Arabidopsis thaliana: one gene and its partners. The protein of the gene in region 1 binds, or shares a complex with, the protein of each later gene. Each region holds a gene or a part of one and is shown in the gene's direction. Other genes may lie near its edges.

Region 1 (4,554 bases):
GCTCGCACTCTTCAGGATGCTTCCTTTCAGGTTTGTGATGTTTCATGTTTTATACAATATATCCTGATAGCTGATTTTGATATCTCTTTCTCACGGTGTGGTTCTTGGTGTTTAGGTTATGGTACTGGAGTCCCGTGACAGAATTGGTGGACGAGTTCACACTGATTACTCATTTGGTTTTCCTGTTGATCTTGGTGCATCATGGTAATCTCACGGCTCTTTCATCCTGTCATTAGATGATGTTTTGGTTTTGGTTTTTGGTTAACTTTAGGCTAACACAGCAACATCGTTATGTCACAGGCTGCATGGAGTATGCAAGGAGAATCCTCTCGCACCAGTTATTGGAAGACTTGGACTGCCCTTGTATCGTACTAGCGGTGACAATTCCGTCCTGTATGATCATGATCTCGAGAGGTTTGCTTGAATATTTCGATTTTGTTACCTCCATCTTTTTATTCTTGTTTGACACCTTAAAACTCACAGTGCAATTCTTTTGTTTCTGTAGCTATGCTCTGTTTGATATGGATGGCAACCAAGTTCCTCAAGAATTGGTAACTCAGATTGGCGTAACGTTTGAGCGTATTTTGGAAGAGGTATGTCCTTCACATTCATTTAGATTTCTTCTTTATTCCTATTCTCGTATTTCTTGATGTTGCAAGTCTTTGATTGATGCTCATGCTAACTAGATTCGTCTATTGCAAACACAGATCAATAAAGTCAGGGATGAGCAGGATGCTGACATTTCAATTTCTCAGGCTTTCTCAATTGTCTTTTCTAGGAAACCCGAGCTGAGGTTTGTATACATAATGTCTCATTTTCTCAATTTCTTTAGGCAATGCACTTTTGCAAGCTTGGTTTCATGGTTGAATTTTGAATTTTCACATCCAGGTTAGAGGGGCTTGCACACAACGTACTTCAATGGTATGTATGCCGCATGGAAGGATGGTTTGCCGCAGATGCTGAAACCATCTCTGCAAAGTGTTGGGACCAGGTTAGTTACATTCTTTCTCTCGTAGTTAAGAGTTTTTTTTGTATAGACTGCTTCTTGAATTTTTGGTTTAACACTCCGAGAAATGTGCAGGAGGAATTGTTGCCTGGTGGACACGGTCTTATGGTTAGAGGGTATCGTCCTGTCATCAATACTCTGGCGAAAGGTCTTGATATCCGAGTAGGCCACAGGTAAGCTTTTGCGTTTTTCAAGAGTTATGGCATTCGTTTAGTGTTTCACAGTCATAACCTCGTGTTTCTCCTTCTCTCAGGGTTACTAAGATTGTCAGGCGGTACAATGGAGTGAAGGTAACGACAGAAAACGGGCAAACTTTTGTTGCGGATGCTGCAGTCATTGCTGTCCCTCTTGGAGTTTTAAAATCGGGAACCATAAAGTTCGAACCTAAGCTACCTGAGTGGAAACAAGAAGCAATCAACGACCTAGGAGTAGGTATTGAGAACAAGATCATACTACATTTTGAGAAAGTCTTTTGGCCGAAAGTAGAGTTTCTAGGAGTGGTAGCTGAAACCTCCTACGGTTGCAGTTATTTTTTGAACCTGCACAAGGCCACGGGTCATCCGGTTCTGGTTTACATGCCGGCTGGTCAGCTTGCCAAAGACATTGAGAAAATGTCTGATGAAGCAGCTGCAAATTTCGCCGTCTTGCAACTCCAGAGAATTCTTCCCGATGCATTGCCTCCGGTACAGTATCTCGTGTCGAGGTGGGGATCTGATGTGAATTCAATGGGATCTTATAGCTATGATATCGTGGGCAAACCTCATGATCTCTACGAGAGGCTTAGGGTTCCAGTGGATAACTTATTCTTTGCCGGTGAAGCGACGAGCTCGAGCTTCCCGGGCTCGGTTCACGGCGCTTATTCAACTGGATTGATGGCAGCTGAAGATTGTAGGATGCGAGTTCTGGAGCGGTATGGTGAGTTGGATCTGTTCCAGCCTGTGATGGGCGAGGAAGGACCTGCCTCTGTACCTCTTCTTATATCTCGTCTCTAAACTCCATCAGTTATCGTTTACTAGAAGGAACCTCAAGTGATGATTGTCTTAATATGAAACTAAAATTATTCTCGTGTCGGATCGTTTAAAACATTCCCAGTCTTATTTTCTCAGTGTTTTTAATTCAATAAATTGGAACATTATATCCTTGTGATATTATTTATATATGATAATCATCTTTAAGAATTCAAGTACTATTTTCTTTTCTCACTTGTGCTAACTAATATAAACACCAATCTTGAAAGAGGTTAAATTGAATACAATAAGAAGAAAAAATACAAAATGAATAAAATCAGATTTAAAGGACCGATGTTGCAAAAGGTAAACCACCGTGTTTTGTAAATATGAGTATCTTCAGCGGTATAATAATAAATTTCATAACTGGAGAAGAAGATAAGAGTGTGGCACAGAGCTTTATCCTCTCTCAGAGTTTCTTCTCCTCTGTGAATCTCCGACAATGGCGATAGCTATGGCGGTTGTTTCTTTCCCATCTCTGCTCAACAAAACAACCTTATCCTCTTCACTCTTCACTCCCACTTTCCTCCCGGCGAAATCCTCTTCACTTCTCATCAAATCATCACCAAAAACCAGATTCGTGGTTTCATCATCCATGGAAGCTGGAATCGGAGTAATGGGGTCAAAACTCGGGATGATGAGTTTCTTCGAAGAAGACGGCACAGTAGTTCCAGTAACAGTCGTCGGATTCCGCGAAGGTAACATCGTAACCCAAATCAAAACCCTAGCCACAGACGGTTACGACGCGGTTCAAATCGGTTACCGTCGTGTACGCGACAAAAAGCTAACTAAACCGGAAACCGGTCATCTCCAAAAAGCCGGTACAATCCCAATGAGACATCTCCAAGAGTTCAGATTAACAAACATCGAAGGATTCGAACCGAACCAGAAGCTTGTGTTCGATGAGATATTCAAAGAAGGTGATCTCGTTGATGTAGCTGGAACCACAATTGGTAAAGGGTTTCAAGGAGGAATCAAAAGGCATCATTTCAAGAGAGGTCAGATGACTCATGGTTCCAAGAGTCATCGAGCTTTGGGTTCGATTGGTGCTGGTACTACTCCGGGAAGAGTTTATAAAGGGAAGAAGATGCCTGGAAGAATGGGAGGGACGAGGACAAAGATTAGGAAGCTTAAGATTGTTAAAGTTGATAAGGAGCTTAATGTTGTCATGATCAAAGGTGCTTTGCCTGGTAAGCCTGGGAATCTTCTTCGTATTACTCCCGCTAAAATCGTCGGAGTTAACATTCCCAAGAACTAGTAGAGAAGAGACTCTGTTTTGTTTTGTAATGTTGACTTGTGTTTATCCATTCCTTGAAAATTTGTATCGAATTGCTAAATCACAGTTTCTTTCTTAGAATTGGAGTTTTTGTATAAGTCGGAAGTATTTCTATGCTAATGTTCTTGAATTGTGATTCAACTGCGATTACAAAACTCGAAAGCGTATCCAAAATTCAGCATCTAAAGTTCTAAACATAAAGAACTAACGAACAATGTAATATATATTTAGTTTGAAGAAATTAAGAAGGTTTAAAATTGTACATGAGATGACAGACAAAAAATGAACATATGAATATAAATCTTTATGATGGATTTTTAAAGAATGGTTGAGAAGCTTTCAATAGGATCAGACTCTTCAAGCATAGAAGCAGCTTGGAAGCAATCAGTAGCATCAGCTATACGTCCATCAGATTTATGAACCATTCCTAAGTAATACCAAGCTTTTCGGTTTGTTGGATCGATCCTCAATGCATCAGAGAGCAAACTTCTAGCCACGGGGAGAGTTGGCTGATGATCTTTCCCTCTTTCGGACAATAACGCTCCAACCGCTACTTTGCAAGGAACCGATGATCCGTCTAGTAATAAACCGTCCAAGAAAGCTGCTAGCGCGGGTTTGAACTCCTTTCGTCCTTCCCACATTCGACCTGATCATTCCCAAAGATTCAAACCAAATTTGAGTAAATCAAGTAATGGATGATTCTAAGAGATTAGTTAAATGGCTTCTTGTTCTTGCCTTCTGTATGCAACATTGAAGCAGAGTATTGTTTCAGCTCTCCGGCTTTTTTCAGACAGACTTCTACGTCGTTCCAATGCGAAAGGCTTGAGTAAAGATAAGCCAAGCCATGCCACACTTCAAACTCATTCACTTTGTCTTCCTCCATCTGTGTTATTGTACAAGTTCTTCAATAAAAAAAAAAAAAGGTTTTGATTGATGATCTCAATAGATTAGAGAACAAAAGAGATTTTGAAACCTGAGAAAGAGTTCTGAGAGGTCCGAAAGATTTCCTTTGCGCTTGAACCAATGCAAGAAGGTAACGATAAGTCTCAACGGCTTCTGTTGGATTTGACTGAGAGATTTTCAGCTTTGCTTTGAGTCTCAAGAGAGGTCCCTGATCCCACTTTGCAGTTTCATCTAAAGCAGCATCAGTCACAACTTCTGCTTCTGAAAACCGTTGTTGAGCTGACAAAACAAGCGCGAGAAATCTCCATCCTTTTAACACTGACCCTCCCGTTGCATCGATGAACTCTTTGGCGTAACGGGAA
Region 2 (5,381 bases), on another chromosome or scaffold:
AAAACCTTTTAAGTATGGAAGTAAAGGGTTAATGACTTCACAAGTAAAATTTAGTTTCTAACCTTGTCTTAATTGCAGCAGTCATAGCCATGAAAGCTTCTTCCACATTGGTTGCATTTTTAGCACTTGTTTCCAAGAATGGGATCCCAAGTTCATCTGCAAAAGCCTGTGGGACAAGGAGATGAGACAACAAAAATGTTATTCTCTTTAAGACAAGGTTTACGTGGATAGAGAGTTCACCTAGTTTATTATAAAATTACCTTAGCTGTCTCAGTGGATACAACTTTCTGTGAAGTGAGATCGTTCTTGTTCCCAACCAGTAGCTTGTTCACATTTTCGCTAGCGTAACGGTCAATTTCATTCAGCCATTGTTTGACGTTGTTGAAGCTCTCTAGGTCTGTGACATCATAAGTGACCTGCAAAGATAGGCAATTGTGAGCAAGAGGTATAGGATGTGTTATTTAACAAGAAGATGATTGGTTGGTTAGAGTAAGAGTACATACAATGATCCCATGAGCTCCTCTGTAGTAGCTGCTAGTGATTGTCCTGAAACGTTCTTGGCCTGCTGTGTCCCACTGTATACACAGGCGATTACCAAAACAAGAGTAACTATCTGCTCTTTCCAAAATTTTAACAGATTATGATTGCATATCTAGCTGAAGAACACTTACGATCTGGAGTTTGATGGTCTTTCCGTCCTGCTCAACTGTGCGAATTTTCTGCATGATATCATTAGTAAAGGTTAACACTTATTATTCTGATTCCTGTATATAAATGAGTGATGAGCAAATGAAGGTGCTTACAAAGTCAACACCAATGGTGCTTATGTAGCTATCCAGGTAAGAATCATCCTGTCCACATAAAATTCAAGATATCAGGAAATAAGAACACAAAGGAGTAACAATGATACCATAGTGAGAACTAAGCTAATCCAATGGAGTAATGACTTTTGAGTTTTGAGTCTTGAGCAACAGGTATTGAACTCCAAGATGTGATCCTCAAATTTTTGTGTGTACACAATGTTAAAAAGTAACTACCAGAGATGATGAATCCAGAATTGTGGGAATACTTACAGCAAATCTTAGAAGCAAGCATGATTTTCCAACACCAGAATCACCAATAAGCAGAAGCTTGAACAGATAGTCACTGCAACAACAGAACGGTAAACACCAATCTCAGTGAAGCTCATAAACTCATGAAAATTCGGGTCAGGAAATAAAAACGCAAGAACATCTATATACAATATGCTAATGAGATCAAAGGGAAAATTGTGTCACACTCGCGAATTTCAACTACAACAGTAAACAGAAATTGCAGATCTCGATCAAATTTCCTCGGATCTGACCTGTATAAGATCCATGGAACGAAAATCCAAATCTATACAAAATTCTAATACAAAATACCTTAAACGAGCAAAATTAGGTAGATTCAATTCACAAACCTAACAACCAACAAAGATCCAAAGCAAAATCGAACAAAAACCAAATCACCAAACACATCAAAAAATAAAAAACGCGGATCGATCCGAAACAATAGATACATGAAACAACGAGAAGACAAGTTTCTTACTATTCAGGATTCATTATCCCTCAACGAGAATCTGACGATTAAAGGAATCTCCGGCAGTCAATTCAGCGATCGTCGTCGGCCAAAAAAACGAGAGAGACGTGAATGTTCTTTTTTTTTTCTTCTATGTGGCTTTGGCTTATTAAGTGCTCTTTTTGTCAATGACACGGTTAAGAAAAAAGAAAAAAAGGGACCCACTCTTTTCGACATTTAAATGCGTTTTGGTTTTGATGTTTGAATGCTGACGTGGCCGAGCCAACTCAGAGAGATGCGTGGAGGACAAAAGAATCAATCAATCTTTTTTCTTCTTCTTTGTCGATTTTTGTTCTTTTCTTTTTTGATTCTATACAATCGGAGAATAACTATCTTTAGGAGATTAAAATTTCGTATCCAATTAATGTAACTTTTTATATGTATGCTAATATTACGTACTGTTGTCAAGCTTTTAATTAAACCACCTGTAAGAGAATATATATTCGTTTCACAAAGAAAGAAGATGGAATATTTTGATTATTATCTTTTTGGTATTCTGATTAAACTAACATATAATAGCTTTTCATCGCTTGCGGTGTAAGTCAATGTAACGTGAACATGTAGACGACTTGAATATACAACATAGTCACATAGAATAATATTTCAACTCCAGCAGAAATTTATTCGTCAATCATAACTTTTAAAAGGCCCAAAGTAGATTATTTAGAGCTATCAATTTAAGGACACATAAACATACATTTGTTTGTAACAGAAACTCTTTATTTAAACCATTTTTGGTTCTACATTAGTGTACTTGGACAAGCCTTGGTTCGTGGTGGTAGACTGGTAGAACCAGCTTTGGTAATGGGTTTCTTGTTATATCAATTGAATATGGGCCTAAATGTCTAGGCCCATAAAATTAGTAAATGGCCCATAAATTGAAATACACGGAGCGGATAAGCGATAAGGCTCTTCTTTACTCTGGTTTCGAGTTTGGGTTGTGCAAACATGGCGACGAGCTCTCATCTTCTTCCTCAGGTTCTTCTTCTTCACTCTCTCACGCTCAATCACATTTTCATACTTATGCTTCTTTGAATTCTGTATTTATCTACCATTTATGGAACCAGGCATTGCATATGATACCGAGAACCCCTTCTTTCTCGTCGAAGAATTTAGGGGTTTCTTCAATTCTACCACGAGCATCATCAGTGAACTCAAGACTATCAGTTTCTAGGGTTTTTCTCAATCATTCGAGCTCCAATTTTGGTTTCGCCATCGATTCCAAGAAGAGAAAAGAGTTTATCGCTAAAGCTGAAGAGAGTACTGAAGGTGAAACTGAGGCTGTTGTGGAGAATGCTGTTGAAACTGAAGCGGAAGGAGAAGGAGAAGCCACTGTTGCGGCGGAGGAAGCTAAACCTCCGTGGAAGACGAGAGTCAAGCTCGGAGATATCATGGGGGTTAGTTCATTATCCAATGTGATTCTATGAGATTGTCTAGTGTTTTGTTTTGGCTCTGAATCTGATTATACATGTCTGATACTGTAGTTGTTTTGGCTCCTGTTCTTAAATCATCAGTTATCTTTTAGGCATTGGAGAAATGAAATGTTGATTTGCTTTTTGTTTCTGTAGCTACTGAACAAGAAAGCTATTGAGGTTGCAGAGACTGTAAGACCGGTTCCTGGACTTAGGACTGGGGATATTGTAGAAATCAAACTGGTAAAACTCATTGTCCCCGTATAATCTTATGCAATTTATGCATTTAACTGCAAGATTTTGATACGACATGGTGGGTTTGATTTTACAGGAAGTTCCTGAGAACAAACGTAGGCTATCTATCTACAAAGGTATTGTGATGTCTAGACAAAATGCAGGCATCCACACTACTATCCGTATCCGGAGGATTATTGCAGGCATTGGTGTTGAAATCGTCTTTCCCATGTAAGTTTATTCTTCCTTAACTATCCTATTATCACACACTTACTCGGGTATATTGATAAGTATAAATGTAAATAGTATTAGATAGTCAGAGTTAAGGGTCTTTGACCTTGTTAAGGAGTCTTTTGGCTTTGAGAGAGATTTTAGGAACTCTAAAACAAACCGGAATTAGCTTCTTTTATCGTGAACAGTCATAGTCTTCGCTTCTTGAGAACTTAAGAGATTTACAATTCTATATCTGATCATATGTATTAGCTTTCTTCACGAAAAAAGGAAATAATTGCTACTCCAAGTATGATACTATAGGAACTAGTACATAAATGCTGGAAGTCTTAGCATTATAGGTCACCAAGCTTTGTGCTTATTTACTACAGAAACGCGCACCAACCTTTAATCTTAATCACTCTAGAGTCTAGCCGTTATCATAACATACTAGTCCCTATGAACTTTCCAGTACTATTGGCTGATTCTACAATGAAGTAATATGTAACTGATATGTTTTGATCTTGAACAGATACTAATCTACACAATCAAGTAATATGTTTTGATCTTGGTTTAGAATATGTATCTGATGTGATGTGTGTTTTGAATTTAACAGATACTCTCCCAACATAAAGGAGATAAAAGTGGTAAGTCACAGGAAAGTGAGAAGAGCAAGACTTTACTATCTGAGGGACAAACTTCCTCGTCTCTCAACTTTTAAATGATCACCAAACCCAACACCAGTCTTGTCTTGTGTTGTCTTCAATCTCCAAAGGTAGCTAGCTACTCTCTTTTCTCTTGTAATAATTGTTTGTTTGTTTCGTCTTTTGGATTTCATTTCTTTTCATGTAATTTACAGTAACAGTAATTTAAGAAAAGTAAATCAATGTTGATTGTTTTGATCTTGAGTATGTAGAATCTGGACCCTTTAGTATTCTTTTTCAGAAATATGACTGATTTAATCATTAAAATAAAACTTTTGAATCATTGAAATTGCTTTTCAAAATAGATTTTTTACATGTAAAATCATGTAATTCATTCATGTAAATGAATTTTCCAGCTAAAGCAGGAAAAAAGAAACGAATGATTGAGTATTTTTCTTGTCTCTTTCCTCTGTATGATGACTTTTATGTCCGATAATTAATTACTTGCTAACAATCAATCATTAATGGACACGGAGAAATAAATTTAAAATATCATCAATCGTGAGAGACGAAAAATGGCCTACCACCCTGAAAGCTCATTATAGCCTTTTTAGCCACTATATAAAATCAAACACCAATCAATATCTGCCACGTCATCATCCTCTTTTTTCCAGCCTGTCGCTTTTAACCTTTGTTTTTTCGTCTCTTACAATGCACAACTGTTTTCACACGTGTCACATTTTTCCCTCTCTTCTCTCTCTTTCGCTCTTTCTTCTTCCCCGCAGTTCCCGGAGACGACGCCGGAGGAAAATCGTACGGAAACTTTGCTTCGACTTCACGTGGCCGCTCCACGAAGCGCCTTTGGGTTTCGTCTTCCCCGTTTCTCTTTCTCTCTCTTCTTTTGCCTTTGTTACCACGAATAGAACGAGAGGAGAGAGATAGGAGGAGAGTTTTGGGATATTGGTGGAGAGCGATTATCGGGAGAGCCAGAGAAAAAAATAAGCAGCTTCTTCCTCCCTCATCGTTGGGACCGTGACTTTTGTTTTCTTCAGGTTTGATCCGTCTTTTTTTCCTCTCTTCATTTCTCAGTTTTTCCCCTCTTTTTACCTTTTCTGGAAAAAAGTTAGATAAAATCGGAATTGTTTGGATTAGGGCTTCGATTTTTTGATGTTGTTGTATACTTTTTTCAATAGAGATTTGATTGTGAAACTTTTGTCGTCGTAGCTTTAAGCAAACAAAAAAAAAAGATGACCGGCGTTGGCGAGAATCAGCTTATCTCCAT
Region 3 (4,318 bases), on another chromosome or scaffold:
CTTCCTCCAGGTCTTGATCGGGTAAGAATTTTTATTTTATTCCCGTTTCTCCATTTGGTCTCACTTTTTGTTGATGGTTTATCACTGATTCACTCTTTTTTGTAATCTTGTAATCTTGTATTTAGGGGTATGTTGTCTTGAATAGACCATGGGCATTCGTGCAATGGCTTGAAAGAGCTACCATCAAGGAAGAGTAAGTCCTGTCATTTCTCTCTTCCTTCCAACTAACATTCTACTGTTTGCTAAATCTCCTGCATCTTACTGTTGGTGCAGCTATGTGCTCATGGCAGAGCCTGATCATGTATTTGTTAATCCCCTTCCCAATTTGGCTGTTGGAGGATTCCCAGCCGCTTTTCCGTTTTTCTATATTACTCCTGAAAAGTATGAAAACATAGTCAGAAAGTATTATCCAGCGGAGATGGGGCCAGTAACAAATATCGACCCCATTGGCAACTCTCCTGTTATCATAAGCAAGGTGAGATTATCTGTGCTATACTGTTTGTATATGTGTTATTTGACTTGGGCCCCAAAGATTTTCAGAGGCGTTTAGCTAGATGTGATGTTGGTGTCCAGGAATATGTTCTGTTTGTTCTGTTCATGCATTAAAATTGATGTTGACATGCATTTACTTTCTGATGCAGGAATCACTTGAAAAGATTGCTCCTACATGGATGAATGTCTCGCTGACAATGAAAAACGATCCAGAAACTGATAAGGCATTTGGATGGGTGCTGGAAATGTTAGCACAAGAAACAAGAATCTTAAATCATGAATTGGCTCTCCACCTTTTGAATCCCATCATTGTTAACTGACTACTTTATTCTTCTCTTTTCTGTTTGATAAGGTACGGTTACGCAATTGCATCTGCTATACATGGGGTGCGTCACATACTTCGGAAGGATTTCATGCTTCAGGTAAGAATCGACCTTGTGCTGATACCTTAGTGATAACATATTCTATGTCGAAGATACTTTTGTTTTGTCAAAGTTACAAAAGTTGTTTCTCTGCTCCATATTCCTAAGTTCTCTCACAATATCTTTCAGCCTCCGTGGGATTTGTCTACCAAGGGGAAGTTTATCATTCATTACACTTATGGATGCGACTACAACATGAAGGTGATTTTCTGTTTGACACGATTGTTTAATTTTAATTTTTGGCTGATAAATTAGGAACAGATTTCACATCTTGTGGTCATTTGTTTTTACTTAAGGTCATTAGGTTCTCTTTTTAGTCACTACTAAGTTTTGCTGACTGTTAAATACAGGGGGAGCTGACATATGGCAAAATAGGAGAGTGGCGATTCGATAAGAGATCACATTTGCGGGGTCCTCCTCCAAGGAACATGTCCTTGCCGCCTCCCGGTGTTCCCGAAAGTGTGGTATGTTATATATAAACCTCTATAATCTGATCGTGCTTAAAACAAGATACTGCAGTAAGGTCCATTCATAGCTCAAAGGGGAACTTATTTGTATCATGTCCATTGGTTTAGTGGATTCCGGAGACTAAATAGCAACGTCATACACAAATGGTCGTCCATAGTTTGATGTAGTTTGTGAATTTGCAATGGTTTTACTTTCCGGGGAGATGATATGCATAAGTCTGTTAGAAGTAGTTGTAATATCTTCAGGAGTTACGGTTTTGCTTGTGGTCAATCAAGTGTGAGAGTGAGAACCGTAATATTGAATGACTGTCCTTAATAACATATTGTGTGATGGTGCAGGTGACACTTGTGAAGATGGTGAATGAAGCTACTGCGACTATCCCTAATTGGGACACTCTCTAACTCACATCCACACACAAAACACAAACCATAGGGACAAATCCATACAGCAACAATATTTTGCCTAATTTTTTTTTCCTTCTCCCTTTACTTCCCTTCTTGTCTGTTTTTTCTTGTAATGGTTAAATTATGAACTTGAGTAGTAAATTACAAAATTATTTGTTTGACACGAGACGAGACATCTTCCATAATTCCGAGAAAGAAAATAGAATTATTTTGGGTCTAGTTATTTGATTAGTTTACCAATGGATTGCGTTCAGAATTCAGAAGCAGAGACTAAAAGACACAATGCGTTAAATTAGACGGAGTTACTAATTCCGTCTATTAACCCTTTTTTTATCCATAAATTTTATTTTCCATTTAAGAAAAATAAAAAAATAAAATTGCTTAGTGGAGGATTGTGTTGTTGTTCATCTATCTTCTTCCTCCACACAGCTAGAAACAGTCTCCTCATCTTCTGAGCAAAAAAATGGAAGTGGCTCTTCTCTCCTTCTCTTCTTCCTTGTCTCCTCTCTGTCACCAGCGAATCTCAACTCTCACACCCAAAACCTCGAATTCCCCAAATTACCCTCGCCTCCCGGTCATCAGATCCGCGGTGTCTCGTAACAAGAAGGAAGAGACTGTCGAAGCCGTCAAGTCTCACTTGGAGAACTGCCATCTCCTCGCCGCCATCAACTACAAAGGCCTCACCGTCAAGCAGTTTCAAGACCTCCGGAGAACTCTCCCCGACACTACAAAGCTCATCGTCGCCAAGAACACTTTGGTCTTCAAAGCCATTGAAGGCACCAAATGGGAAGCTCTCAAGCCTTGTATGAAAGGCATGAACGCTTGGCTTTTCGTCCAGACCGATGAAATCCCTTCTGCTATCAAACCCTACCGGAGCTTCCAGAAGGAACGCAAGCTTGAAAACAATGACTTTGCCGGCGCTGTCTTCGAAGGTAAGTTCTACGCTCCTGACAATTTCAAAGTCCTCGAGACCATGCCCACTCGTGCTGAGGTCTACGCTAAGATGCTCGGTGCTCTGCAATCTCCGGCTATTAATCTCGTCACTACTTTACAAGCACCAGCAAGAGAGGTTATAATGGTGCTTATGGCTTACATTAAGAAGTTGGAAGATGAGAGTAATGCATAGTTAAGCTTGTACTAATCTTTTGGAGAATGTAATGTACGCAACAAAAGGCAATTCAATTTTTTGTTTATGACTCTCTCAAGCACCAATTGTTATTACAGTGACTGAGTTTTATTGAAATGTTGTTTTTCGGAGTGCTCTCAAGCTATCATAACGGTCTTGTTTAGATGTACTTAGAGAGGATAGATTCAACAACTCCCTGAGCTATGGGGTGATAAGTTTCTCGAGCTTCTGCAAACACCTGTTTTGCCAGCTGCTTCTCTTCTGTTCCACCAGATTGTGCAAGAGCAGTGAAGAGTGGACGCAGGTACTTCATCCTTCCTACCTCTTTTAGTGTTTTCTTCACTTCCCCATGGTACTCTCTGCACTTGGATGTGACTGCAAGTTGCAGAAACGAGACCTTCACTTCATAGTCTTTCGATTCTGCCAGTCTGTACCGCTTGTCCAAGGCCATGACCTGATTCATCAATGAGCAAAGTGGGTGTTAGCCATAGGTTTGAACCTGATCACCAATCCTTCCTTTGTTGACTAGCATTGTCATTAACAAACAAGATAAGATCCTAACTCTTGCAAAGCCAATACACTTTCCACAATCATGAACTCTCCCAAAGCCAAGAGGGTTTTTCCACAATCATTATTCACTAGCCCCACATTAATCCAAGAGTAACTATTGAGCTAACCTAACTGACAGTTAGTTAGGCCTTTTTCTCCTCCTTATGTAAGCTTATTGAGTAGTTCAACCTAAGTCAAGCCATTTCCCATTATCTTAGAGGAAGAAATAAAGATTCACTCAGCAAGTACAGCTCCAAGTACAGCTCCCATTAACTTAGAGGAAGAAAGGAGTAAAGAGTACCTGAGAAGGTTCACATGATTTAGGAAGATTCTCCAAGTACAGCTCCCATTCCTGTCCGTTCCACTCAGCAACATCATCCTCACTTGGCATCTTTCCTTCCTTAAACTCTTTCGCCAGGGATATGATCTTTGTGTAAATGGTTGAGACTGGTTCATATGCATCCTCTGGTATACCAACGCCCTCAGTCCACAGCTGTAGATTGATCTCTTTCTCTATGCCAGGGATGTTTGCTTTCAGGAATTCAAGAAATGTGTTTGTATCGATTGACTTGAACTTGAAAGTAGCAATGTATTTCTTGAGGAATTCGTCAAAAGCAGTTCTTCCAATCTGAAAGTTTTCCAGTAAATAGATGACCATTATTGTAAACATTACATAACAAAACACCTAAGCGAAGAGGGCAATTCAACTAACCTGGCGTTCAATTCGCAACACAAATTGGAATCCTTTTTCATATGGGACCTGAGAATATACATCATCTGGATCAACACCTTCTTGTTTGTTCCACAGTTTAGTGCACTCCAAGTTGTCCTTAAACCGTTCCATTTCATCAGTTAAA
Region 4 (4,373 bases), on another chromosome or scaffold:
CAGGAGCAGTAAAAGATGCAACAGGGACATTGAAGTTGAATGCGGTCTGATTGTTCTGGGAAGTGTTTGTAGCCGGTGTTGGAGTTGATTGACCAAAGATGTTATTGTTTTGTGGAGTTGTGGCAAATCCGGGTCCAGGTCCAAATGATGCTGGTTTGAATGTTGTTGATGGATTGGTTTGGAAACCAGAGGGACCTGTGATCATTTGCAAAAGAGGTTTCAGATGATGGCGAGTCTCTTGGCCTTTAAGCAAAGTTTAACATTAGAAGTAGTACCTGAAGGAACAGGTTGAGGAGTGTTGACGCTGAAAGCATTTGGTTGTTTATTAAAGCTTGCAAAGGCATTCGGAGGTCCAGATGAACTATGTAGAGGAATCATTGGCCAGAGAGAAATATGGAAACAGAGTTTTCATGAAGGCACCCCTTTACGGAATTTGGAAAATGGAGAAAGCCCACAAAAGTTGATACCTGAGACCACCAGCGTTGGTATTGGAGAATGCAGTTTGTTGATTATTTGATTGTTGAGTAAAGCTTGCAAAGGGGTTCGGAGGTCCAGATGAACTATGCAGAGGAATAGTTGGCCAAAGAGAAATATGGGAACCAAGAGGTTATAAAGGTAACACAAACTTGTTTGAATATGGAATATGGAGAAAGTTAGTACCTGACTCCACCAGCATTGGTATTGGGGAATGTAGTTTGTTGATTGAAGCTTGCAAAGGCATTCGGAGGTCCAGATGAACTATGTCGAGGAAAAATGGAAACCGAGAGTTAGTTTGAAGGCAACACAAACTTTTTGGGATATGAAAATTGGAGAAATCCCACAAAAGTTGATACCTGAGTCCACCCGCATTGGTATTGGAGAATGCAGTTTGTTGATTAAAGCCAGAGAATGCTGGAGAAGGGGAATTGATCTGACTGGACTGAGGGAAGATACTAGGAGTGGTTGCAGCAAACGGGCTTTGATTGGCGGTAACAGAGCCTTTGTATGGATTCCGTAGAAAGTTTTCAAACTCGGCTATTTTGGAATTTTGCAGATTCCTCTCCCTTTCAACCTATATAATGCACCATAATAAGCCAGGAAAAGAGGAAATCAACTTATGTCTTATCAGTATGAAATGAAAACCAGTGTAAAGTATAACAAACACAAGAAAGGTTAATCTCACAATCGACTGTAGAGGTATTCCTCGTTTAGCTTCTTCATATGCCACTGCACGTAGTTCTTCATAGCTGATATCACCGGTAACATCACATGGAAAACTAGAAGAAAAAAAAGATAGAAAAAATCAGACACGTTTATAAAGAATGGATAAAGATCAAGGATGCTAAACCAAATGAAGTAATACATACTATTTCCAGTGGCCGTAGCATGTGAGCTTCCACATGGGTCTCTCATTCTTAAAATCGTCTTGCATTACCCGCTTACACGCAGCAGGATCTGTGCATCTTTGTATAGTAACCAAGAGAGAAACAGTAAATTTCCAAAGAAACAAACGGCTAAAAGGATGATAATTGATAGAACAAGCATATGTAAACATATATACACTCACTTATGATCTGCCGGCTGCGTCTGTTTACCAGTCTGCTGTGTAGAAGCAGCAGCACCACCACCAGTAGGTGTAGAAGCCGTTCGTGACCAAGTATTCTGATTTGCAAAAGCATCATCATGTCACCATTCATTCAACAGGCAAAATGCTTTCGTTTCTTAAAGAAGATGCACCATTTTTCTCATCCAAAGCCGAACGATAACTTGCATTCTATCAAAGCAATACTTGCATCTTAAAAGAGGAAAAAAACAAATTGACCTGGAACTGATTCGGTCTGCTGGAACCACCACTTTGTACACCAAATCCAAAAGGGTTCGAACTATTTTGTTGCTGCTGCTGCTGTTGTTGTTGTTGGTTTTGTGTACCAAAGCCAAAGGGATTATTTGGCTTAGCTTGTTGTGGATGAAGAAATCTACAGTTTTCCCCATACCTACAACTGCAAAAACAGCACAAAGGACGATGAGTCCAATAATTACGTCTCTAAGCTTCTACTATCACTAATCATAACTTCCGAAGCAAATCAACCCTCATTAATGGCGGAAACGAAGATTAGAATCTATCAAAGTCAATAAACTGTATGATTCATTTAGATTTCAGCTCAATAGACATCGTTTTCTAACACATTACCACCTTCGCACATCGATTGATTTCAAATTAAACCCCAGAATATAGAACACGAAACCTAAACTTCAGCAATCGAAACAAACTTCAAAAACTCTTATAAAACAACAAATTGAATCAAAACAAAAACTAGAACAGATGAAGAAGAAGATGATGATGATGAAAAGAGTATTTACCTGCCACGCTGAAAGTTTCTACACAGTTCCTTCCTCATACTCGCAGCTAAAACCTTCGAACTGTGTACGTATGTGCGTATATATATATGTAGTTTTGCTTCTCTCGAGAAAAATGAAGAAGCGTTAGATTGACGAAGAGTGTATCAACAGAACAAAAGGAAGTCTCTATGTAAATTACCATATTACCCTTACATATCTTCAAAGTATTTAGGGTTATAAACGTAACTCCAATACACTTCATCATCCTCATTCTCTTATCCATCAATCGTTACTTCGTTTCTTCTCTATCACCAGGAAAAAAGAAGAAGATAGCTCCTGAAGACAAAAATGGCGGTTTCTCTCCCGAACTCGTTTCTTCAGATTAGCCCATGTGTTCCTTCTCTGCAATTAAGAAAGGTAAGCTCGAAATCGATTTCTCATTCTTCGTCTATTTCTCCTCCTTCCCCAAAATCACTAAATTTGTTTGTGTTTTTTTTTCAAAATTAGCCGGTGATGGCGGCAGTGAAAGGAGGAAAACAATCGGTGAGAAGAAGCAGCAATACGGTGGTTCAGATAACGTGTCGTAAGAAGGAATTGCATCCTGAATTCCACGAAGACGCAAAGGTTTACTGCAATGGAGAGCTGGTGATGACTACAGGAGGAACAAAGAAAGAGTATGTGGTTGATGTATGGTCAGGTAACCATCCGTTTTACCTCGGGAATCGTTCGGCTTTGATGGTTGATGCTGATCAAGTTGAGAAGTTTCGTAAGAGGTTCGCTGGGCTTTCTGAGATTATGGAGATTCCTGTGCTTAAAGGAGAAATCATTATGCCTACTAAGAAAAGTAAAGGTCCCAAAGGGAAGAAGAAATGATGAGTCTTTTCTGGTAAAGCTTATGTCTTTGAATTTGTTGTCTTTTCAATTGAAGTCGAGATACTGCTTAGGCTGTTAAAAATTGTATGTGAATTTTCTTCTGAATGCTATTGGTTATGCTTTCTTTAAGATCTATTTGGTTTCATTGAGAGTGAGACTAGGATCTCAGAGCAATGATACAAGTAGTAGCGAATCTCAAGGACAAATCTTTAGCTTGTGAGTTTGGCATGAATTTGTGATGGATAATAGATAGATATACACTGGTGAGAGAAACATAGCAACAATGCCTATGAAATGGTAATTGCAAATGAAAGAAAGGTTGTGGCTTTTGCCACATTTTGTGATAATCTTGGAAAGTTATGGCATGAGATTAATGACTAGTGTAGGTAGTTGTTGTTGATGTGTAAGTGGTGTGTTGATTAGTTGATTGAGATCATTTTTACATAGATTTATAAGATGTTGAACATGATGATCATGGTCTATGTAAGTGTCTGCTGAAGTTATCAGGCAAAACATTTGTCTTCTGACGACGAAGTGGCGTACTAATAGTGAGCAGATTCTTGAACTGTGGCCATGGCGTAGGAGTATGTTTTGCTTGAGAACATAAAAGAAAATTTTTGGCACTTGAAGTTGAAGATTCTGTGATCATGCCCAATTGTATACTACTACTGAATTTGTGTGACCAATATTGAACAGAAACAGAATACTCCAGCTCAATCAGAGGTTTTACCAATATCAAGCCAAACCAATATCAGGCCGTCTCAAGCCCATTTGAAGACAGTCGAATGTGTGGGCTATTTTAGGCCCATTTCCTCTCAGCTGGAGTCTTCTGCTTCTTAACTAAGCTACCAAAGTTTTCACTGAAGTTCAAAAGGAAAACCTGTGGGCTTTTTAATCCGTTAGTAAATTGGGTTTTGACATCTCTACATACTTCATATGCTGATCGATGCAGTTGAATCTGAATAATTGAGTTAAACTAAATTCATTCGTTGGTTGAAGTCTTAGATCCTTTCTTATCAATGATTTGCGATCTTGACTAAAATTGAGTCTTAAAATATTATCTTAAAGACTTTAGACACACAAAAAGAAGGTGTTTTAAGATAAACTAATGGTCTCCTGTTTCCTAGCATAAGATTGATGAAAGACGCTGTGTTGGGTTAGTTAAACTATATGTCTAACCA

The links.
Region 2: AT2G43030 (region 1) and AT5G47190 share a complex: the UniProt entries of both Arabidopsis thaliana proteins name them as parts of the 50S ribosomal subunit.
Region 3: AT2G43030 (region 1) and EMB3136 share a complex: the UniProt entries of both Arabidopsis thaliana proteins name them as parts of the 50S ribosomal subunit.
Region 4: AT2G43030 (region 1) and emb2184 share a complex: the UniProt entries of both Arabidopsis thaliana proteins name them as parts of the 50S ribosomal subunit.

The regions. Positions count from the first base shown.
Region 1 is NC_003071.7:17,892,443-17,896,996, forward strand, and holds AT2G43030 (Ribosomal protein L3 family protein), read left to right. Parts: upstream 1-2,353; 5' UTR 2,354-2,455; coding exon 2,456-3,271; 3' UTR 3,272-3,440; downstream 3,441-4,554. Other genes in the region: PAO2 (polyamine oxidase 2), read left to right, coding at 1-30, 116-204, 301-414, 506-593, 708-793, 889-991, 1,082-1,179, 1,260-1,998; NPG1 (tetratricopeptide repeat (TPR)-containing protein), read right to left, coding at 3,607-3,935, 4,025-4,172, 4,263-4,554. UniProt on the Arabidopsis thaliana protein: One of the primary rRNA binding proteins, it binds directly near the 3'-end of the 23S rRNA, where it nucleates assembly of the 50S subunit.
Region 2 is NC_003076.8:19,163,231-19,168,611, reverse strand, and holds AT5G47190 (Ribosomal protein L19 family protein), read left to right. Parts: upstream 1-2,476; 5' UTR 2,477-2,547; coding exon 2,548-2,577; intron 2,578-2,666; coding exon 2,667-2,996; intron 2,997-3,167; coding exon 3,168-3,254; intron 3,255-3,342; coding exon 3,343-3,476; intron 3,477-4,071; coding exon 4,072-4,180; 3' UTR 4,181-4,428; downstream 4,429-5,381. Other genes in the region: RAB1A (RAB GTPase homolog 1A), read right to left, coding at 63-166, 261-416, 504-575, 672-719, 804-851, 1,074-1,146, 1,570-1,583; AT5G47180 (Plant VAMP (vesicle-associated membrane protein) family protein), read left to right, coding at 5,347-5,381. UniProt on the Arabidopsis thaliana protein: Located at the 30S-50S ribosomal subunit interface and binds directly to 23S ribosomal RNA.
Region 3 is NC_003076.8:4,339,045-4,343,362, forward strand, and holds EMB3136 (Ribosomal protein L10 family protein), read left to right. Parts: upstream 1-2,217; 5' UTR 2,218-2,249; coding exon 2,250-2,912; 3' UTR 2,913-3,051; downstream 3,052-4,318. Other genes in the region: AT5G13500 (Hyp O-arabinosyltransferase-like protein), read left to right, coding at 1-21, 126-193, 274-475, 642-739, 845-914, 1,044-1,115, 1,265-1,378, 1,721-1,783; AT5G13520 (peptidase M1 family protein), read right to left, coding at 3,073-3,366, 3,763-4,089, 4,174-4,318. UniProt on the Arabidopsis thaliana protein: This protein binds directly to 23S ribosomal RNA.
Region 4 is NC_003070.9:28,269,496-28,273,868, forward strand, and holds emb2184 (Ribosomal protein L31), read left to right. Parts: upstream 1-2,575; 5' UTR 2,576-2,667; coding exon 2,668-2,736; intron 2,737-2,826; coding exon 2,827-3,192; 3' UTR 3,193-3,514; downstream 3,515-4,373. Other genes in the region: AT1G75340 (Zinc finger C-x8-C-x5-C-x3-H type family protein), read right to left, coding at 1-195, 276-361, 468-560, 661-738, 834-1,051, 1,163-1,256, 1,347-1,442, 1,547-1,641 and 2 more. UniProt on the Arabidopsis thaliana protein: Binds the 23S rRNA.